Linked DNA regions of Rhinolophus ferrumequinum. The protein of the gene in region 3 interacts with the protein of the main gene of each other region in a pairwise test. Links are inferred from orthologs where the notes say so. Each region holds a gene or a part of one and is shown on either strand. Other genes may lie near its edges.

Region 1 (7,529 bases), on a different chromosome or scaffold from region 3:
CCCCAAAACAGACCTTGGCATCACTGACCAATATAAAATATTCAGGGGTCTATGTCATGCCTCAGGTACACAGAGTATGGGGGACCCAGGCAGAAAGACAGAGCCTAGATGGTTTTTCTCTATCGTATAGGAACTGGGATGGCAAACCAGAAGTTGAACATCCACATGCAGACACCTAGATCAGGGACTGGCAAACGTCTTTGTTAAGGGTCAGATAGTGAATATTTTAGCTTTGTGAGCTATATATTTTCTGTCACAACCACTCAACTCATCCATTGGTAGTGTCAAAGCAACCAAAGACAATATGTTCGAGTGTGCCAGTGTTCCAATAAAACTTTATTTACATAAACAGGTGGTAGGCCAGATTTGACTGATGGGCCATCGTTTGAGGACCCCTAACATAGACAGCTGTGATTTCCCTACACTCTAGGAATATTTTCCCTGCCTTTTATGTCTGCTAACACTTACCTCTGATTTCCTTAAGCAAAAACTACACCGCATTTGACAGCTTTGCAATGGTTTCCAAAAGTCTTTATGACTCTACCAAAAAACATCTTCCTTATTATCTGTGACAATTCTCACCTCATTTTCCTTTTATATTTTTTTAATCTCTTTGACAGCCACTATCCCACACTAAAAATCTGAGAAATTCCCTTTCTCATCACTCACAATGTCAATTATCAACACCTGAAAATTCTAATGCTGTTCAATGTTCAAAGCCTCTGCCTTTGTTCAAGCCCTCATTACTTCTTCCCTGCTCTCCAGTCCACCTTCCTGAAGAATATCCATTTATCTCCTAAAAATTAAACTTCATCATCCAGTCCCCTCCTTGAAGACCTTGAATGCCTATCAGCTAAGGATCCAGTTCAAACTCCTTAGCAAGGTCCTTCACAACCAGATTCCGACCAACTTTCTCAGTCTCATCTTTGACACCCCTCTCCCTCTCCTCCCTCCATCCCCCCATGGTACCCACAAGGTTAGGCCTTCCTGCATTAGAAAGACCCAGAACAAATGGATCATGTTGCTTTATATATGGATGGTATATACATATTGAATATCGAAAATCTTATTGCTATGAATGTCCTCGCAACCTTTTTGTTGAAAGTCCTTTTTGATTATATGGGAGCCCTATAATGTCTCATGACTGATTTGCATACCTTCCCTCAGAGCTCTCCCATAACCCATGTGAACTTTGAACTCTTCTCTATTCTGATCAAACTTCAATTAGCTTGATCATGATAGAGATCCTGGATCTCTACCATTGTTCAGTTTTGTTTTGTTTCTAGTTTGTGTGTGTGTGTGTGTGTGTGTGCCCCTTTGCTGTACAGTAAACACCTAGAAGAGAAGGCGCATCTCTTAAAACTTGAGAAAGTTAGAAGTCAAAAGGGCCCTGAAGATAACTTCTTTGCACAAATGGAGATGGGCTATAATAGAAATTATCAAATAGCTGGTTACCTATACATTTTTTTGTATCCCTCTGAGTCTCTGAAGTGACAAACTGATTACAGAAACAAAATAAATTAAGAGTTCTTTGATATAAACTGCCATGCTTGACTTGTTAACATTTTTCTCCCAGCTAGCAAATTCCTCTAAGGCAGGAGTATGTTGAATGAGGCAGCGACCTGAGTTCCAGTAACACCCTCTGCTACTAACTTTTAAGATCTTGAGAAGTCAACTTTACCTTTCCATGTCTCAGCTAAAATCACTACATCATCTGAAATCATTACATGATCTCTAAGGCCTCTGTCGTTTTTACACATTCATTCCTTCTTCACCATTCTTACTGGCTTCAATAACTTCTTTCTGATGACCTCCCCAGGTGACCCAGCTCTTAAAACAGTGGGCTGTCCCCTTCCAGGGAAGACACCTTGGGTCACCGCCCACAAACAGCCCGGTCCCTCCTTTTAAAGACACACACAAACTCTCCAAGTTGATGGAGGCTTTCTCTTTTTGCCAACCAGTTCCACTCTCTGCACCCCTTTTGCTGGCTAGCTCCTGCACACAACTGCAGTCTCCCTTTTTTCTCTTCCTTATCAAACTCTTCCCTTTTTGTTGCACCCCCCTCCGCCATAGAGAGTGGATAATCCTGGGGGCACCTATGTCCTCAGGCCCGTAGGAATTATACGGTCTTGTAATTCAGCCCCGCGACTCCAAGGACTGCCCCAATCTGATACCTGCGTCTGTACCCAAAGAGCCCCCATTTCTAATCAACCCCTTCCTCTTCACCCAAAGAAGTGCCACAGCCCTGACAGCCTGAACTCGGACCCCACGCCCCTCCGGGGTCCTACCTGCCCTGGGGTCCTGAACACCACCCACAGCCTAACCCAGTTCCAGGTCCTGCTCACCCAAGTCCCACAGACCCCGACCCCGGTTCCGTTTGGACCTAGTATCCCTAGTCCACGACCCTGGCCACGACCCCACGTCCGGCTCCCGCCAGTTCCTTGGACCTGGAACGCCACCCCATGCGTCTAGACCCCGGCCGGCCCTGCACTCCCTCAATGCCCCAGACCCGGCGTCCGACACCCTCTTCAACCCGGCCGGGCCTCCGCTCCCTCCAGCGCCCCCGCCCGCCGGCCCGGGGCCCGCTCCCCAACATGGCGACGGGGACACGAGCCCGGCGGGCGGGCGGGGCGGCTCCCGGCCAGGCCCGCACAGAAGCCGTGCCGCACGGCCAGCCGGCGCCATTTTCCCGCGCCAGGCCCGGGCGCCGTCTCCTTCTAGCGTCGCCAGCCGGGCCGGGACCGTGGACGCCCGGCGGGCCCACCCCTTACGGGCCAGCGTCGCCGTCACCTCACCTGAGCGCGGCCCCAGCCCTCCCGGGCGGGCCTCGGAGCACCGGCCCGGGCCGTCCGTGCCCGCGGCCCTCCGTGAGTGCGTCCGTCCGTCCTCGCGTGCGCCCGTCTATTCGGCCGTCGGCGCCCGGCCGCCAGCAGCCCGACCCGGCAGGGCCTCAGGGAGCCGGCGGGGAGGGGGATGGGCCGGACCGGGCCGGGGAGGGAGGGGGAGGGAGGGAGAGAGGGAGGGAGTGCGGGAGGGGGCGGGGCGGGGCGGACTAGAGGTGGGTGGGGCTGGTCACGTGACCAAACGTCCCCGAGCGCGCGAGGCGGAGCGCGCACCGGCTCACTTGGGTGCAGACCTTAGGGCCCAGACAGGGTGGATCTGTCTCCTGTAGCTGCAATATCGCAAGTGGCACCTGCCCCCACTTCAGAGTCACTGTGCAGCCCTATAGGTGCCCTCTGGCTGAGTGTTCTTGGGCAACTCCGTTCTCCAAGCCTCAATTGACCCATCTGAAATACGGGGATAATAATACCAAAGAGGAAATGAGGAAAGCATGGAAAGCACTTGGTACAATGCCTGACAGATAGTGTCATATGGTGATAAAGATAACCTTTAGCCTTTATTATTATTTGCCTATAAGTTCTTCTCTGTCTTTTCCCATCACCATCACCCCAGCAAGCTCAGTAGGTGCCCTCCCTGCTCCTCAAATGTAGGAAGGCCTCTCCAGTACCGGACCTGATGTCTGTCATGCAGGCCTGGATTCAAGGGCAGTCCTTGGAGTCGCGGGGCTGAATTACAAGACCGTATAATTCCTACGGGCCTGAGGACATAGGTGCCCCCAGGATTATCCACTCTCTATGGGGGAGGGGGGGTGCTACCAATTCACTCTTGGTAGCTGTGTGATTTTCTTTGTCTCTGAACCTCAGTTTCATCAGCTGTAAAATGGGAATTAAGGGTCTGTTTCTGTGATGCAGAAGCATCACAGAAGACAGAAGACGAGCAGATGGATTGTAAACTGATTGCAAAGCTCAAGAATACTGGTCTCATCTAAGAAAAGGAGTCTTTCATTCCACGAATATTTATTGAGCACACACTGTGTGCTTGACTCCCCTCCAATCTATTCTCCACCCTGCTGTCAGAGTAATGTCAGTAAGTCAGAAATCTGATCATGTCCCTCCCCTGTTTGAAACTATTTGATGGTTCCACACTGCTCTTAAGGTAAAGACCAAATAGATGTCTTACTGTTGTTCTTCCCACATCTCCAGACTTATCTCAGGGCCCTCTTCCCTTGTGTGGACTGCAACTACAGTGATCTCCTTCACATATTGCATTTCCCCCTTCTCAGGACACTGGCATATGCTGACCCTCAGCCTAAAATGCTCTCCCTGCTAGATAACTCATCAGCCCTCAGATACCAGCTCACACATTTCTTCCCCAAGAGCACCTTCCCTGACCACTCACTTCCCAGGCGGTTTCTCTTGCTTGTTCTCGATAGGATGTACTAAGTTGTTTATTCCGTCTTTACCACTGACTGGACTGTGGACTCCATAAGAAGAGAGACTTTGTCCATTTTGTTTACTTCTGTTTCCTCAGCACATAACACAGTGCCTGGCACAGAGGAGGCGCTCAATAAATATTTGTTGTAGGTATGAATCCTAGCACAAAGTGCTGGGCCCAAGAGGGCAGAGAAAAATAAAGAGAACCACACGCGGCCACAAGGGGGCACCTTAGACTTTTGAGCCTATGAAATTAACACCAAAAGGATTTACAAAAAGAGCCTGGAAAAAAAGTTTTTTAAAAGATTTTTCTTTTAACTTTTAAAAAGTGAGGTATAATTTACATAAAGCAAAATGCAAACATTTTATGTGTATACCTAATAAATTTTTGCTTATGTTCCTGTGTTACTACCACCCAGATCAAGTTACAGAAATACCAACCCAGAAAGTTTCTTTTGTTCTCTCCCACGACCCCTCCCAGTCAATATTGGCTCCCCCAAAGGTAACCATTATTCTAACTTCTAGCACCTTAGATCAATTTTGACAGTTCTTGAACTTCATATAAACATACAAGCATGTACTCTTTTGTGTTAACCTGGAAATCTGGTATATGCAATCTGACATGTATCTTTAGATAATGATACAATAAATGAATTACTTGGTTAATTAATTAATATGAAAGACCAAATGAGAAACTCTGGTTATTTTATCCTGCAGAAACAAGGGTCCTACCAGAAGCCAGGTAACAGGTTGAGATGACATCATACACACCTCCAAATCTCATGAAAGTTTCTAGAGGTAAGAAAGCTCTGAAAGATTCTACAAGATTCTCGTAGGACAACAAAAATCCAATTTAAAAATGAGCAAAGGGGGGTGGTTCTCATAAAACAACAGAAATTCAATTTAAAAATGAGCATAAGAGGGTGGCTGGTTGGGTCAGTGTTTAGAGCGCAGTGCTCATAACACCAAATTCGCTGGTTCGATTCCCACATGGGCCAGTGAGCTGTGCCCTCCACAATCAGATTGAAAACAACAACTTGACATGGAGCTGATGGGTCCTTGAAAATACTGTTCCCCAATATTCCCCAATAAAAATTTAAATAAAAATGAGCAAAGGACTTAATAGACAGTTTCCGAAGAAGACATATAAATGTCCAATAAGCACATGAAAAGGCATTCAATAGCATTAATCATTAGGGATGGCTATTTAAAAAAAAAAAACAAAAACAAAACCACAAATATTGGTGAGGTTATGGAAAAATTGGAACCCTTTCACATTGCTGGTGGGAATATAAATGGTGCCACAGCTGTGAAAAAAAAATTGGTGGTTTCACAAAAAGTTAAACACAGAATTACCATCTTTTCCAACAATTCCACTTCTGGATATTTACTCAAAAAAAGTAGAAGCAAGGACTCGAAGAGATATATGTACACCCATGATCATAGCAGCATTTTTCACCATAGGCAAAACATGAAAGCAACCCGAGTGGGTAAACTAAATGAGTTATTTATATACAATGGAATATTATTCAGCCTTAAAAAGGGCAGAAATTTTCACACATGGATATACCTTGAAGACATAATGCTAAGTGAAATAAGGAAGTCACAAAAGGACAAATATTATATAATTCCTTTTATATGAGATTCCTAGAGTAGTCAAATTCATAGAGACAGAGTAGAATAGTGATTGCCAAGCACTGGAGGGAGGGGAGAATAGAGAGTTACTGTTTAATAGGTACAGTGTTTTAGTTGGGGAAAATGAAAAAGTTCTGGAGATGGATAGTAGTGATGGTTGCACAACAATGTGAATGTATTTAATGCCACTGTGCACTTAAAAATGGTGTAAATGGCGACATTTGTGTTGTATGGATATATTTTTTGCCATGATTTAAAAAATACACATATGCCAGAACCTGAGCCACTGTCCTCATTTTTTTCACCTTGTTATCAATGTCCTTAAACTGAAGGTCATGGGTTTTTCTGGGATTAGCAAGGATGCAGGGAGCTAGGAGACAGGGGCCCACTTGGGGACCTACACATCTGATAAGTGAAAACAGCAGGTGCATAGGCAACACAAATATTTGTTGCCCACAGGAAGGTAGCAAAGGAACAAAAACAGGCCATAGACGGCACTAACAATAGCATAGTGCTTACAAGACTGGACTTTGAAGCCAAAATACCCAAATTCAGATTCTAGTGTTGCCATTTATTAGTTATGTAACTTTGGGCAAATCCAACCTTCTTGTTATATACATGAGGAAACTGGGATCAAACAGAGAAAAATGACTTGTCCAACAGAGTCCAAAGTATTTTCTCCTTTATTTTGTTTGTTTTTTAATCCTTAACGTAGTTTTTATTTTATGTCCCTAATAGACTGTACCCTTTCCCAAAGAAAGTATTTTTGTAATATCATCACCTGTAATATAACAACTTTTTTGTGCTTCAGTTGCCTCATTTGTAAGGTGCAGATAATAAGGGTACGTTACAGATTAGAGGATTAGAGGATTAAATGAATTAGTAGAGGATTAAGTGAATTAGTACTTGTAAAATGTTTAGAAGAGTACTGAGCACTTATGAGGACTCAACAAGGAGCAGATTAACAGAGGTCTCTAAGGAGGTTATCAGGCTACTCACAGTTTGTTATGAGCAAGAAAAGCAGTCCTAAGACATCCAAGATATTCTGGATTCAGATTTGGGTAAAGAAAAAGCAAATCAATTGTTCTTTGATGTGAACAATTTGATTAACATTTATTGAACTTCTACGTTTAAATGTTTGTCCAAATGGGCTTATGCTTTGTAGTAAAAAGATTGATAGTGGATACTTGAACCACATCTTTAACCATCTAGAGAGCATCACCATTTTACTCTCTGCAGGGTTCATCACAACATTTCCAAACGACAAGATAACCACGTTTAGTTGGACAAATTGTGTCTTTCAGGAGGACATATCTAAGTGGGTGCCATTCACTGGTAGACATTATAATTATAAATTTATTGTGATAATTTACCAGCAGATGGCAGTAAAGTATCTTTTATTATAAAATCAGCTCAACAATTTTCAGACAATAAGAAATAAAGTACTTTGAAGAGGGGTCTACTTTATATAAAGTACTTTGTATAAAGGCTTCTACTTTGTATAACGGCTTAATATGGGCTTACTCTTAGGAACAAAAGATTGAAAAGTAGAAATAGAGTGTTAACAACACAATTGAAAAAAAATTAAAGAGTATCAAGAAGTGACCCCCCCCACAAAAA
Region 2 (7,018 bases), on a different chromosome or scaffold from region 3:
GACCACCAGTGGAATCATATGGATGAACGTTTAACATCCAGCCATGCTCAACCCCGTCGTCCACTTAACTAAGAGCTCACCATACTGTTGAATGACTCAGGAAGGAGCAGTACTGTGGAAAAAGGCTGACAGAGTGAAAAGGTGAAACTAATTCAGAATGAACTGCAAACTCTACTCCCAGCATAGACGCAATGTAAATACTATTACATTAGTAACAAGGAGCTTGACAAGAAGTGAACAATAAATGTCTCTATACCAGTCTATCATGTGTGTCTCTTATTGGTGTATTTCTTAGCACCTTTGCCTACAGTACACCAGTGCACTATAACTCATGATTAACACAATTTTATAAATATATCTCCTTAAGTAGACTCTTAAAACACCTGGGTAGGGGTGGCTATCAACTTTATGATAAATAAAATTAAAGACACACTATAACAACTAGTTTGGAAAAGTCTACACAGGAAGCTGAGCTTATTAAATAATTATCTAAGCACACACCACAATCCTCACTCACCATGACTTGACGCACAAGCTTAAAGGTTTCACTCCAAGGTCTATTTTGGTTAAATTTTGCATGGAGCCGTTCCAAGAGAGAACTCATCTTACTCAGCTTTTCCGATTCTACAATATGAATCAGAAGACATCGTTAGAAACTCTTTCAAGAACTTCCAGTTTTTCTTGCAAATGAAATCCCCATACATGATCCTGGTAAGAACTTAGTTAAAATATTTTTCAGTATCATTTACTTGGAAACATACAAAGAATTTATTTTTAATGACAAGAAGACACACAAATTATGAGTCTAATCTAATAAATACCATAGACTGGAACTGCTTTCTATTCAAACTTTGAATGGGAACCAAAAAAACACACAAACAAACAACAACAAAAAACCTCATCTCTAATCATGTTTCAGGATCAAGACTACAATTTAGTGGCAAAATCATTTCATGATATGCATGAAATCCCTTGCGTGATACATATAGAGTATATATTTGAACATGGCCTTACTATGGTTAATTGATTTTCAATGTGAAAATACAGACTTTCTTAATTTTTTACATAATTTTAAGAGATCAATTTCTAAGTATTATCAAGAAAACATGCTTTGTCATTCAGATTTCTCCTATTTGAATTCAAACTAAATCTATATGGACAGGGAAGAGGTAAATGTCTAAAGGATGAGTTTCCAGCAGAGGTAAGAGAAAAGTAGAAAAAACTGGCTCCTGAACTGTGTGAACGAAACTCCTATGCCTTTAAACCCTCCTCTAATTCTTCTACTGCTTAGAATGAGCAAGGACCTGTAATACCGTGTTTCCCTGAAAATTAGACTGGGTCTTGTATTAATTTTTGCTCCAAAAGACGCATTAGGGCTTATGTTCAGGGGATGTCATCCTGAAAAATCATGCTAGGGCTTATTTTCCGGTTAGGTCTTATTTTCAGGGAAACATGGTAGAGACCACTGGCAATGCAAAAACACACAATATCCCTGAAATGACATGTGTGAAGGGGTCTGGATAAGTTTATGTGGAAATAACCTCAAACAAAGCAAAATGGGATATGCTCTTAAAAACAGACGCACATTATTAATTGAAATTCAAAGGAGAAAAAGTTAGTTGCAGGGATGTTACAGAAAAGGTGTCATTGAAAGACCAACAGAATATCAGAAATCAGAGTTGAGGCAGTGACACCTTCTAAATCAAAATTCAAACTCCTTCCTCCAATTTCCTCATCCAAAAAACTGGTTTTTGAGCTGTTGCAGCCAGTTTACAGTTCTGGACACATTTCTGGCTATTCCCACTTTCAAGACTCATTCACTCAAGCACTATTTTACGTGCTGGGGATACAGCAGTGAGCAAACTAGACAAGATTCCTGCCTCATTGAGTTTCCATTTTACACTGTCATTCCTCTGCACCCAAAGAGTAAACCTTCTTCCTCTCCTTCAAAACACATTCCCCATTCTTTTCTTGAGAAGCCTGATACATATCTTTATATGAATGCTCAAATCAAACTTTTTTTTGAGCAACTACTTATGTGCCAGCGACTATACAATGAATGATGAGTAAGGCAAAGTCCCTATTCTATAATACGAAGCTCAGAGTAAAGTGGAGAAGACAAGTGAAAAATACAGTGAACTGTATTACTACAACTATGTCCAAAATGCTAAAGAAGCATTTAAACTGGAGTGTAGAACTTTAGAAAATTAAGTAAGATTCCATAGAAAAGTTGTTTTCCAGCAGTTCTGAGTTAGCCCAGCCATTGAAAGAATGAAGTTCAACGCCTTTTTAAAAAAATATACAATAGCACAAGATCTGAACACTGACATTCTAGGGAACTGTTGGCTTTTAATATCATAAGGACCTAATCATTTCATTCATGCCAAAACATCCTCCAGTACTTGAACGAATAGCTCTTATTATTATGTCATTTATTCAGATGTCTCTTCTGGAACAGAGGTGTAAGCAGGTATTAGATTCACTCGCCTGGTCTCCCATAACTTTAGGATAAAAATGTCCTGAGGCCCAAATGATTGCCCCTATCTCAACAGGAAACCTTCACAGAAGTTGGGAGCCCCCATCACCCCAAAGTCGGAGCTTTGGATCACCAGGGAAGGCACAGTCAGAATCTGAAACTCACACAAATCCCGCCTTCGGGACTCGGCGCCGTCGGGAGAGTGGCCCCGGCGAAGGCATCGGACCCCCAGCTCCTCTCACAGATTGGCTTCCCCAGCTGTGTCCCGCCCCCTGCTTTCCCCTTCAGTCACTCACCCTCGGTTTCCCCCTGAGCCTTCATCCTGACGGGGAAGGCCTGAGTCCTACACAAGAGGATAAGCCCTTCCCCACCAATACCGGCGGAATCAAGTTGGTTCGGGCTCCCGGGACGCGGGGCACCAGCAGTCCCCACTCTTCCCGGGAAGGTTCAGTCTGAAGTCCCTGGCGGCAAGAAGAGAAGGGTGCTCGCGGCCGCCGCCATCTTCCTCAACGGAACTTCCCAAAGATCGCGAGATTAACCGTGATCCTGCGAGAGAGGAAAAGGGCTGGGCACCAAACTATCGCGAAAAATGGTTAATGCGGTACTTCTCGCGAGATTCTCCCAACATAGCTTTCTCGTGGCTTTAGGTTATCTTAGGTTTACTGCGGTAGGTATGGTACTTTCCCGTTGGTTGTGATCGGTTCCTCTTATGAAACCGGCATTTCATTTTGGCATTTAAGCAGTTCGCAAATTAAAATCCCCGGCTCTCTTTACTGAAAGACTAAGTTTTCGAAGAATATTGGTATTAGAGATGTTTTATTAAAGATAATACGCTTTCTTGGGATACTAGATGGAATAATTATGCCATAAAAAAGATATTGGCCCTTTGTAACACGACGTTCCACCCCAGTCCAGTACACTTAATTCCCATTTCCTTTTTTTTTTTTTTTAATTTCAGAAGTATTTTTTGAGCAATTACAGTATTTTTGAAGATCTAGGAGATTTTGGATTAAGGTAAACTTGTTTTCAACCTTATAGCATAAGATGTTATTAATTATACTTAGGGTCCCAAAGGTGTTCATAATTGATTGTGTCCTTTTTTGTAATCGTAGTGAAAACAAGCAGTTTAGTTTGTATTCTGCACCACAAGTCACAATGTGTAATCATATTTCTTGTATCAATAAGTCCTCATAAAGAGAAATTTGGAGTGATGCCGAGAAGTTCATGGCCACTGGAACTGAAGAACCAGGCTAAAATACAATAGTGCTAACACTGGGTAAAAGTTCTTAACATAGTTAAGGTTACTTTTTTTTTTTAAGTTCTTTTTCCATACAAATCCTTGAAAATAACTGGTGAAAAGTTTGATTTTTACCTAGTTTGTGGCAAATATATTAAGAATGGATTTCTACTAGCCACATCTCAGACTTTACCTATCCTATTTCTCTGAAAATAAGACCTAGCCGAACAAACAGCTCTAATGTGTCTTTTGGAGCAAAAATTAATATAAGACCTGGTATTATATCATATTATGTTTATCATATCATATATCATATCATATTATATTATAAAGACCTGATCTTATAGTAAAATAAGACTGGGTCTTATATTAATTTTTGCTCTAAAAGACGCATTAGAGCTGATTGTCCGATGGTCTGGCTAGGTCTTATTTTGGGGGAAACACGGTACATTTCAAAAATGTTAAGCAAACGTTCTCCTAAAGCCATGCCAGCAGATAACTACAGTTCAGGTGAGCAGGCACAGCAGCGTAAATTTATTGAGAATAAATCTGGAAATGTCTGGAAACATGTTTGTCACCACAAAGTTATATATAACCATGCTCCTTGAAAGTAGAATTCAGATGTATTGCTTGTCTATTCCTCTTACCCCATTCCTTTGAGTCACTACACAGTTTCTTGGGGCAGGAATTTCCCCTCATTTTTAGGACCCCATTATCTAGCACTGTACCTAGGCTTAGTTAGGCAAATCTTTTACTGGGCTTGCAAAGCCTTGCTAGACCCAGCTCTGCTCCCCTTGCCAATTCCCCCAGCCACATTCGCCTTCTTTTATGTGCAGAAAATTCCTACACTCCTCTCCTTAACTGCTAGGAGGGCCTCCTCTGCTGTCTTCACCTCACTAAGACCCTCTTATTCAGATTTCAATTTAAATGTCTCTTCCTCTAGAGCAGAGAAGCAAGCCTTTTCTAACCCCTGACTTAATCAGGTCCCCTGTTATATTATCTCTTTAATAATACTTAAACCATCAAAATTAATTAAGTCCATAATTTGTTCAATGCCTGTCTTCCCTCCTGGACTGTCAACTCCAGGAAGGCTTGCACTGGGTCTGTTTCTTTCACTGCTATCTACTGACATTGCCAAGCCCAGCTCCTGACACAAGTCAGAGACTCAATACATATTGTTGGGATAAATAGAGAGGGTCTCCAGATAAAATAACAAAACACTTAAATTTGAATTTCAGAAAATCAACAAATATTTTTTAGTATAAAAGTATGTTCCAAAATTATTATATAATGTAAATCTAATAACCTTAAAATTGATGAAGTACAGAGAGCATTTATCGAAGTGAGAATTTTCAAAGATAATTCATATTTAAAATTCCGTTTCCTTTTCTGTTGTCAAAGTGCTCTTCATTCAACAAGCATCTATGGAGTCCTAATACTTGTGTATTAGGAACTAGTAATATAAACATGAAAAAGCAGCCCCAACCCTTATTTGACTCATTTGATTTAGAGTTCTGAAAATCTGATTGGTTACTATATTCATGGGTACTCAAAAGAATTTTTGTTAATTTATTATTATGCCCAAAGTATTAACGTTAGATACACAGCTATACTTCCTCATGGAAACTCTCTGTACAGATAAACAATAATGTCTGTATTAAGTGTAGCTAGAAAATTTTAAACCTTATAAAGCTTGAAAATAGAGTAAACTTGACCAAATTTTGGTCACAGAATAGAAGTTATCATTTCTCATCTGAAATGACATGTAAAATTTGTACTCAAGTAAAAGATACCATTCAATACAAAAAAGCATAAAAGGTGCACATAGGAACAATCTTCCTACGTGGCAAGAAGAAGACAATGCGTACATTTTAAATGACTAAGCTTTGAGGGAGACTAAACTCTTTAAACCTAAAATCTAAACTAACAAATTGGTCTGTGTGGGGATAAGAAGTTACTGTAACTTTAAATATTTTCTCTTGTGTACAGGCTAAAGAGAAGCTTTCTGACCTGCTGTGGGAATTTACAGGGAAAGTGTAATCATCACCTGACTGATCATCTTGAGGTTCATACAGTTGCCCTGACTCCCTGCCCTGACAGGTCATGCAAATAAAGCAAATCAAGCAGTTTTGGAATTTCTCAGTTCAAAGTTTTCTGTAGAGTGAAGCAACACTTACACAAAAGCACTATTCTCACCAGTTGTTGGGCCAATCAGTGTGTGTAGTTTAGAGTAGATTTTGTATTTTAAAATTTAAACAGAATCTGAGATTTCCTAGAATAGATTTTTTCCCAGCTGTATTGAGATATAATTACATTAGAGCAGAATTTTATCCACCAAAAGGAGAAAGTTTAGTGCAATAGAGTATTAGCCTAGGTTTAAAGAAAGAGAGCTGTCCCTGTTTCTGGCACTAACTAGTCTTGGTGTAAACAAGCTCCAATTCCTTCTGAGTCTGTTTCATCCATTAGTAGATGCATATAACACCCATCCTGGCCACCTCACCAGGTTATTTCCTTGTTCAGCTGATATTTATTGACAGACTTAAACGAGTCTTGTAGAAAATTAAAAAGTGCTACAGAAATATAAGAGATTATAAAAATTCAGAAAAAGCTTAATTTATTCATTAGGGATCTCTAGTCTGCTTCAATAGGCAACAGATAATTAATCTTTATAACTATAAATAATGCTGTTTAATTTGGATGATTTTCTTTTTCAAGATTTTATTTGACACATGACCATGATTCCTTCCACTTTTCCATTTTACTATGAATGTGGGTGTATCTGGGTCAAAACCTTCATCTCAATTAAAAGTTAGAAAAAAAATCAGAGTAGTTTTGCTGAACTCAGACCAATATTTAATAAGGTGGGCCAGTCACATCTAATTGGCCTATTTAGTCTCATGCCAGCTGCCATCATGTCAGACACTTGGGGGAACCTTTACATCCAGGCCCTCTTGCAGCAATGTTGGGGAGATACCACACCTGAGTTTCAGTACTTAATTCTATCCTCTATTTTTTTTCTTTTTTCTTGATAGCATTAATTTTGCTATTTCCATAGATAATTAAAAAGTTGATATGAAAAGCTTGGTCTTTTTCATTTGTATTCAAGATTTATGGACTTAAACGTTCAAGTAAAAACTTTTTATTAGTACCCATGTAACCAAAGCAACAGGAACATTTTCAGGGAATGATTTTGAAAGTGGATTCTTCTACCTTCATTCAGAATGTTTTCTGACTCCTAATTTACTGGTTGATCTTCCCATCTTTGCATATACAAATCCTATTTACTCTTTCTGGCCCAACTGAAA
Region 3 (7,219 bases):
ACACAGCTCCCTCCACTTGGGACACTCTCCCCAGGTGGTTACGAGGCACAGGGGCAGTATTTTTGCCTGTTTTGTTCTCTGTCATGTGCCCAGCACTTGGAGTATAGCCTGGCACACACTAGTCACTCAAACCTTATTTATTACCAATGTTTTAGTTTAAATGTCAACTCCTCTAAAGAGCCTTTTTGTCACGTTCTCTAAACTGTGTCTCTTCAGCCCAATTCTCAGTTATTCTCAGCCTCAGCCCGTTTCTTTTCTCTCTCTGGCCCTTTGGAGACTCTGATTATCTTGTTTAGTATTTTGACAGGCCCCCGGAGAATATCATCCCCATAAGGGCAAGGTCTGGAGAGGCCTTGCTCATCACTGTGCTACCAGCATCCATCCTCAGGCTCATTCCTGGGGTTCCTTGAGGGCAGAAAGGAAGAGGCTTGCTGAGGGTGGGTGGCCTGGCCATTACCTCAATGGTAGATGCCTTCAGGAGCGCAATCTGGTCCTCACGGCCCAGCTGTAGGAAGCCGGGCACCTGCTTGGCGAAGTCCACAATCTCCTGGACCGAGATGATGGCCAGCTCCGTGAAGTGGGCGAAACGCTGTTGGCGGGCATCGCGGGACTGGGGATCTGCGCCCAGGGGCCAAGGCTAGGACATAGGGGTCCAGGATCACTCTCAGGACTCCTCCCATAAGCCCAAGGCCATGGGGGCACAGTGAGGCAAAGCCTGCACCCCAAAAGACCCTCCTCTCCAAGCCCCTGCCCTCTGGAGCCCCATTCCCTCCCCATCCCAGGCCCATAACCCCCTCACGGCCGAGGAAGGGGCAGTACCGTGACTTTGGGCTGATCAGAGAAGGAGCGTTTGTTGCACTGTAGCTGGGCTGCCACCAACTGCTGGATCATTAGTTCCTGAGCAGCTGTTAACTGGACACCCTCGCCTTCCCCTGAGCCCTGGCCACCCCCGTCAGACCCTCCAGGGGAGGCCCCAGGCCCAGAGGCTGAGCTGCTGCTGACCCCCGGCCCTACGGGTTGCTGCTGCTGCTGTTGCTGTTGCTTCCGAATCTTCTTCTTCCGGATCTGTTCTTCAGAGAGGACGCCTGTTGGGGAGACACAGGCCTCAGCAGAGGCCCGAGAGCTGGGCAAGGCCAGGGTGGAACTGCTCCCTCCCTGACACTCACACTGCTCCCTCATCCCGGCCTCCTTGCACTTGCGCAGCCGGCACTGCTGGCACTTGCGTCGCATGAAGGCGTCCATCTGGCAGGTTCCACCACCACGGCAGGTGTAGCGCCCGGCCCCACCTCGGACCACACTGCGTCGGAAGAAGCCCTTGCAGCCTTCGCAGCTGAGCACATTGTAGTGGAAGCCAGACGCCTTGTCCCCGCACACCCGGCACAGCTCGTGGCCCAGCATCTTTGGAGCCGGGCCCTTCTTTCGCTTGCGCTCTGGCTCCTCTGCTGGGTCTGGGATGACTGGAGTGGGTGGAAAAAAGCCATGAGACAGAGCCACGGAAAGAAACAGCAGCCAGAGAACAGGCCCGTGAGAGATCAGAGACAAGGAGCCAGAGTACAGAGGGTGACCCAGGGAGATAGCAATTCAGAGGGAAAGATGTGTATGTCAGTGAACTCCAAAGAGGAACAGGAGAAAAGAAGTTAACAAGAAACCGGGGCCGCCGGTCCTCATTTCTGATCTTTCTCCCTTCCTGGATCCTCCCCCAGCCCCGCATACCCACTCCCAGCCCATCTCTGGACCCCGTCTCACCCACGCTGCAGGCTGAGCCGGCCCCATCAGTGCCTGGGACATCAGGATCTGGACCCCCAGGCCACGGCTCAGGACGCTCCTCCTTTACAACGGGTTTAGAAGAGGGGGCGCTGGGCTGAGGGGGGACATTTCCTGGGAGAGGGAGTCACAGTGAGTTTCTCCTGACAAGTGTGTGATGGTGCGGTGGACTGAGCTGGGAAGGGCTCACTCACCTGGCAAGGGGGTATCCTGGGAACTTGTGGTGGGGGTGGACATGGTGGGGGTCACGGAGCAGCCTGCAAAATACAATGGGTCTGAGAGTCTGTGGGGCTAGGGAAGTTCAGGTGAGGTCAGCCACAGGTCTTGAAGGGGTCACCTGTTTCTTCCATCTCTCTCAGGCTCCTTCCTTACTGCATATAGACCTCACCCCAAACCCCTGCCAGTCTACAAAGGCTTCCAATTCTAAAAGGGTCCCCCCCCAACTTCTGATCCAAAACAACCTTTTGCATGACCTCAAACCCCGCCCCTCCTTTAAGTTGTGTCTGATCCAGATACCTTCCACAGGCTCTTTCAAGGTACTGCCCCTTCTGCTTCAGTCTGGCTCCACCCTTACTTCCTCCTTTCCACTGTTTCATCCCACCTACTCTTACTACATCCCACCTCTACGCGAAAGCAAACCTATTATAACTCATTTTGACCCCACCTCCTACTATTATGCTCCGCCCCCATCTTCTCCACCTAGGCTCCGACCAATCCCTTCCACGTTCCACTCTGACTCCTCCCACAATGCGCTTCCCCATCACTTTGCTCTGCTCCATCAGCACCTCTCCCCTCCAGGTCCCGCCCCATCTCCTCCCATTATGCCCCGCCTCCACCTCCTCCCACCATGCTCCGCCCCCACACCTCGCTCCAGGTCCCGCCCCTCTCCGAACACCAGTGGGGGGCGGGGCTCATGGCTGCGCGCGAGGGTCTCGTGGGCAGTCTCTCGCGGGGTCTCCTCCCGTTTCCCTGGAAACAGTCGGGGGAGACGCGAGCTATGGAGGGGAGGGAGAAGAAGGAGAGAAGGGGCTCAGCGGAGCAGCGCGGGGAACTCCGAGAGGCTCCGGGCCGGGCTCCTCCCGCGTCTCCTCACACTCGGGTGCACCTGCCTCCGTCCCCTTGCTCTGCTTCTCCTCCTTCTCCTCTGTATCCCCTGGCACGCTGCCGCCGCTCGGGTCCCCTCAAAAGTAACTTCGCCACTTCTTCCGGCAACCCCACTGTGCGTCACTTCCTGAAAGGGGCGGAGATTCAGGGGTGACAGACTTCCGGTCCGCCTAGGACTAACCTAGTCGGCTGCCCCGCACGGAAGTCGTATACCCGCCGGAAGTTTATCATTGGGTGTAGCTCCCTTGGGGGCCTGCAGAAGAATTCCGGACTCATTCGCCCTATCGTGGCCAGATCCAAACTTTCCCTCCTGGCACTATGTGTTTTTATGGGCTCCCAGCAAGATTTATTTGGCATAAGTCTCCCCAGCTATAGTTCCTTTTCGCATTGGGCTGATTGAAAGCACGTTTGTCCTTTTTTGATTGTTAGGAGATTTCTGATTTTGGAGGTGCTCTACTTGTTAGTTTTAAATAAGTTAAATTGCAAACCTAGACCCAGAATAAAAATATTTTAAAAATAACTTGGTAATAGGAAGAATTTCTTTTTAAAGCGTAGCCTTACCAAAAAGATGCAACTAATAGCTTTTAAAAAATACTTTTTAAAAAATGTGTTTAAGTATTTTTTTCCAGGACCCATGAGCTCCAAGTCTTGTAGTTGTTTCAATCTGGTTGTGGAGGACGCAGCTCACAGTGGCCCATGTGGGGATTGAACCGGCAACCTTGTTAAGAGCACTGTGCTCTAACCAAGTGAGCTAACCAGCCACCCCAAGTAAGAGCTTTTAAAGAAAACTCAGAATACTTATATGGGTAGAAGATGGAAATTGTTCCAAAGTCTTGATGATGATAATCAGATTATAGCGAGCATATACACATTGTTTTAAAATGGGAATACAATATATGATCCATGCTTTTTGTAGCTTGTTTTGTCCATTCAGGCATGGCCTTGAAGCTGTGGAATTTCCAGCTGAGGGTGTTACCAATAAAAACGAGTGGTTAACGTGGGCATGGGGGGGATGGCTGAACCAGGGGCTCTGCTACTTTCTCGCTGTGTGATGTTGAGCCAAGCTATTTACCCTCCCCATGCCTCAGTTTCTTCATCTGTAAATTGGGAACAACAATTCATTGCATTGTCATTATAATTAAATGAAGTAAAAACTATGAACTGGGCCAGGCTCAAACAAGGAACCCAACATGTGGAAGCTATGTTTATTCCTGCAGATGTTCAAGTTGTTTTTAACTTTGTTAGAACAGTGCAAAAGGCTGAAATAGACTGAAGATGAATTGCAACAGTTTGGGGGCAAGTCATGTCACTCTCAGCCTCAATTACCTACCTGTAAAATGGGGGAAAATATTTGAATTTCTTATCAAAGGTGCGAAGATTCAGGAAGAGCAGTACCTGGCATATCTAAGCATCCAGTCAGTTTTGTTATCTGAACCTAATTGCAGACCACTGTTCTCATTTATAACTCACCTAATAACCCTATTTTTTAGTAACAGCTTTACTGACATAAAATTCACATACCCATACAATTCACCCATTTTCAATGTACAATTCAATAGGTTTTAGTATATTCATGGAATTGTTGCAACCAACACCACAATTTATAACACTTTTGTCACCACCCCAAAAAAGAAGCCCCATGCCCACTAACAGTCACCCTCACTTATCCCATCATCTGAGTCCTAGGCAACCATTAATCTACTTTCTGTCTGTATGGGTTTGCCTATTCTGGACATTTCCTATAAATGGAATCTTAGACTATATGTCCTTCAGTGTCTGGCTTCTTTCACTTAGCATGATGTTTTCAAGGTTCATCTACATTGTAGGATGTATTAGTACTTCATTTCTGTTGTGGCTGAATGCTATTCTATTGTGTGGATAGACCATATTTTATTAATTCATCAGTTGATGGACATTTGGGTTATTTCTATTCTTGCCTAAAGTGTTGCTATGAACATTCAAACACGAGTTTTTGTGTAGTTATCTGTTTCCATTTCTCTTGGGTATATACCTAGGAGTTGAATTGCTGGGTCATATGGTCACTCCATGTTTAACTTTTTGAGGAATGGCCAGACTGCACACATCATTTTACATTCTCACCAGCAATATGCAAGGATTTCAACTTCTCTACATCCTTACCAACACTTGTTATTATCTGCATTTTTAAAAAATTTATTGGGGTGACAATTGTTAGTAAAATTACATAGATTTCAGGTGTACAATTTTGTATTACATCATCTATAAATCCCATAGTGTGTTCACCACCCAGAGTCAGTTCTCCTTCCATCACCATATATTTGATCCCCCTTACCCTCATCTCCCACCCCCCAATCCCCTTACCCTCTGGTAACCACTAAACTATTGTCTGTGTCTATGAGTTTTTATTTCTAATTTGTTTGTCTTGTCCTTTTGTTGTTTTTGGTTTATATATCACATATCAGTGAAATCATATGGTTCTCTGCTTTTTCTGTCTGACTTATTTCACTGCATTTTTTATTATAGCTATTCTAGTGGGTGCAAAGCGATATTTCATTGTGGTTTTAATTTGCATTCTGATACCCAATTCTATTTCTTTTAATCATAAATAATTTGTAACATGTAATTCTGCTTTTACTATTCTGAAGTGAAATACAGAGATGATACAGCTGAACTATGACCCCAACAACAAAATAGCATCTTACTTCACCAACTGCAATACAAAAGATGAAAAATAGAAGCTAACTTGTAATAAAATCATATGTGCTTCAACATAGGTACATGAAAGACACAATATGGCAGCTAGCTCTTACTTCAAAATATAGAATTACTGTGAATTTGAAAGCTACAGTGCAGTCTGACACAGGACTGTTGTATGAACTCATATGCCTTAGACAGCATGGGTGATGTGATGTTTTCCAAAATTGTGGCAAAGTCTTAATATAAGTTATCAGTAAGATTGGGCAGGAATAATTTAGGCATATTTAAAAAGCAACAAGGAAGTTAGGGTGGCTAGAGTGGAGAGGGGTCAGGGGAGAGTGCTAGATAAGATCATAGAGGGAGCACGGTTAGATAATGAGGTCTTGTGGGCCACACTTGTCCAACACCGGCTAAGCATTCACAAAAAACGGTCCCTTTCCCTTGGTGACACAAATGACTACATTTCCCAGCATCCCTTGCAGCTACATGCCATTCTGGCCAATGGAAGGAGAGCAAAAGCAATAGATCACCGCGAGGGAAAGCAAGGCATCTGGGCTGATTCCAAGGTGTTTGGAACCTCAAGACCGGGGTTCAACTTCCCACTGAGTACACCAGGGCTGTTCCTTCCCCCAACCTCACACCTCAGTTTCCCCCTTCTATAAAATGTGGACAATAATTCCTCTTTTATAAGGTTGCTAGGCAATTAAATAAAATGGTGGACTGAAAAATCTAGTAATCTTTATCCAGTCGTGAGATTGTGCTGAATGAATTTGGAGACCCAAAAAGCAGTCAGGCGTGAGCCTTAGGTTGAGGGCCTTTTAGTCTGATGGTGGAAGTGGACCTGGTCACAAACCACTTTGTGACAAAATAGTGACGATTGGGTCCCATTTGCTGATTGTATTTAGAAGACATCTCCCAGCCTCCTTGGGCAGGTGGCAGTCAGGCAGGAAGCATTTACTTGGCTTCTCTTCCCATGGAGTCAGTATTCTGGTCAGTGGGAACCTCAGGGGCAAAAGCAGGGAGGCTTGAAATGTGTTCCAGGATTTCAGCTCAAGAAACTGGGGAGGTAAAGTTTAAAAGTGAAATATTAACAGGAAAAATTGCTACCCTGGAGAAGGTGCTTAAAAAGTACTTGTTGGATGTCAGGAAATTAAGTTGAACTAAGAGACTGGTTCTTCATGGTTACAAGAAAGCTCACCAAATATTATTGCCAATGGAAAAACGTTGTGCGTAGCGTCAACCATTTTCATAGCGTCTATACTAATTTTTTAAGATTTTCAGGAAGTGTATATTGAAATTTCTGTGAAAAAACAAATGTAACTATTATCAGAATTCATGTAAAACAGGCTGATCAGAAAATATTTTCTCCATACTAAATAGCGGATAATCACAAACCTTTACATTTACATCTGTTAGGACCATGGTTCATAAAGTTTGAATAAGTCATAAACTAGGACTCCGAAAAAGAAACTCATATGGAGAGTCGGGAAAGAACAGATATTGACTGGGAAACTAGGCCCACACCACCACCGTGTGGCCATTTTGGAATTTGCAGGCTGGGTCTGGATGATGCAGAATCCGGTGCGGAGATTCTGAGGAGTCAAGACTGAGGATTCGAACTGTTGAGACAGAGGAGGGGGAGTTGTAGTGAGAGTTACTGTAGAGAAACTGACTC

The links. The genes of interacting proteins can lie anywhere in the genome.
Region 1: the proteins of NR1H2 (region 3) and NCOA6 interact in a two-hybrid assay, tested with the Homo sapiens proteins (2 studies listed by BioGRID). The link is inferred for Rhinolophus ferrumequinum from reciprocal best matches to the Homo sapiens genes NR1H2 and NCOA6.
Region 2: the proteins of NR1H2 (region 3) and MED1 interact in a two-hybrid assay, tested with the Homo sapiens proteins (2 studies listed by BioGRID and IntAct, with this or other methods). The link is inferred for Rhinolophus ferrumequinum from reciprocal best matches to the Homo sapiens genes NR1H2 and MED1.

What each region holds. Positions count from the first base shown.
Region 1 is NC_046306.1:20,474,291-20,481,819, reverse strand, and holds the start of NCOA6 (nuclear receptor coactivator 6), read right to left. Parts: upstream 3,001-7,529; 5' UTR 2,868-3,000; coding exon of another isoform or gene 2,595-2,867; exon of another isoform or gene 2,587-2,594; intron 1-2,586. Other genes in the region: ejaculatory bulb-specific protein 1, read left to right, coding at 2,595-2,867, 4,694-4,776, 4,992-5,028. UniProt on the Homo sapiens protein: Nuclear receptor coactivator that directly binds nuclear receptors and stimulates the transcriptional activities in a hormone-dependent fashion. Coactivates expression in an agonist- and AF2-dependent manner.
Region 2 is NC_046304.1:36,121,105-36,128,122, forward strand, and holds the start of MED1 (mediator of RNA polymerase II transcription subunit 1), read right to left. Parts: upstream 3,001-7,018; 5' UTR 2,798-3,000; coding exon 2,773-2,797; intron 625-2,772; coding exon 518-624; intron 1-517. UniProt on the Homo sapiens protein: Component of the Mediator complex, a coactivator involved in the regulated transcription of nearly all RNA polymerase II-dependent genes.
Region 3 is NC_046298.1:45,214,529-45,221,747, reverse strand, and holds the start of NR1H2 (oxysterols receptor LXR-beta), read right to left. Parts: upstream 3,002-7,219; 5' UTR 2,874-3,001; exon of another isoform or gene 2,858-2,873; intron 2,760-2,857; 5' UTR 2,629-2,759; intron 2,022-2,628; 5' UTR 2,002-2,021; coding exon 1,959-2,001; intron 1,879-1,958; coding exon 1,747-1,878; intron 1,458-1,746; coding exon 1,167-1,457; intron 1,086-1,166; coding exon 820-1,085; intron 638-819; coding exon 458-637; intron 1-457. UniProt on the Homo sapiens protein: Nuclear receptor that exhibits a ligand-dependent transcriptional activation activity. Binds preferentially to double-stranded oligonucleotide direct repeats having the consensus half-site sequence 5'-AGGTCA-3' and 4-nt spacing (DR-4).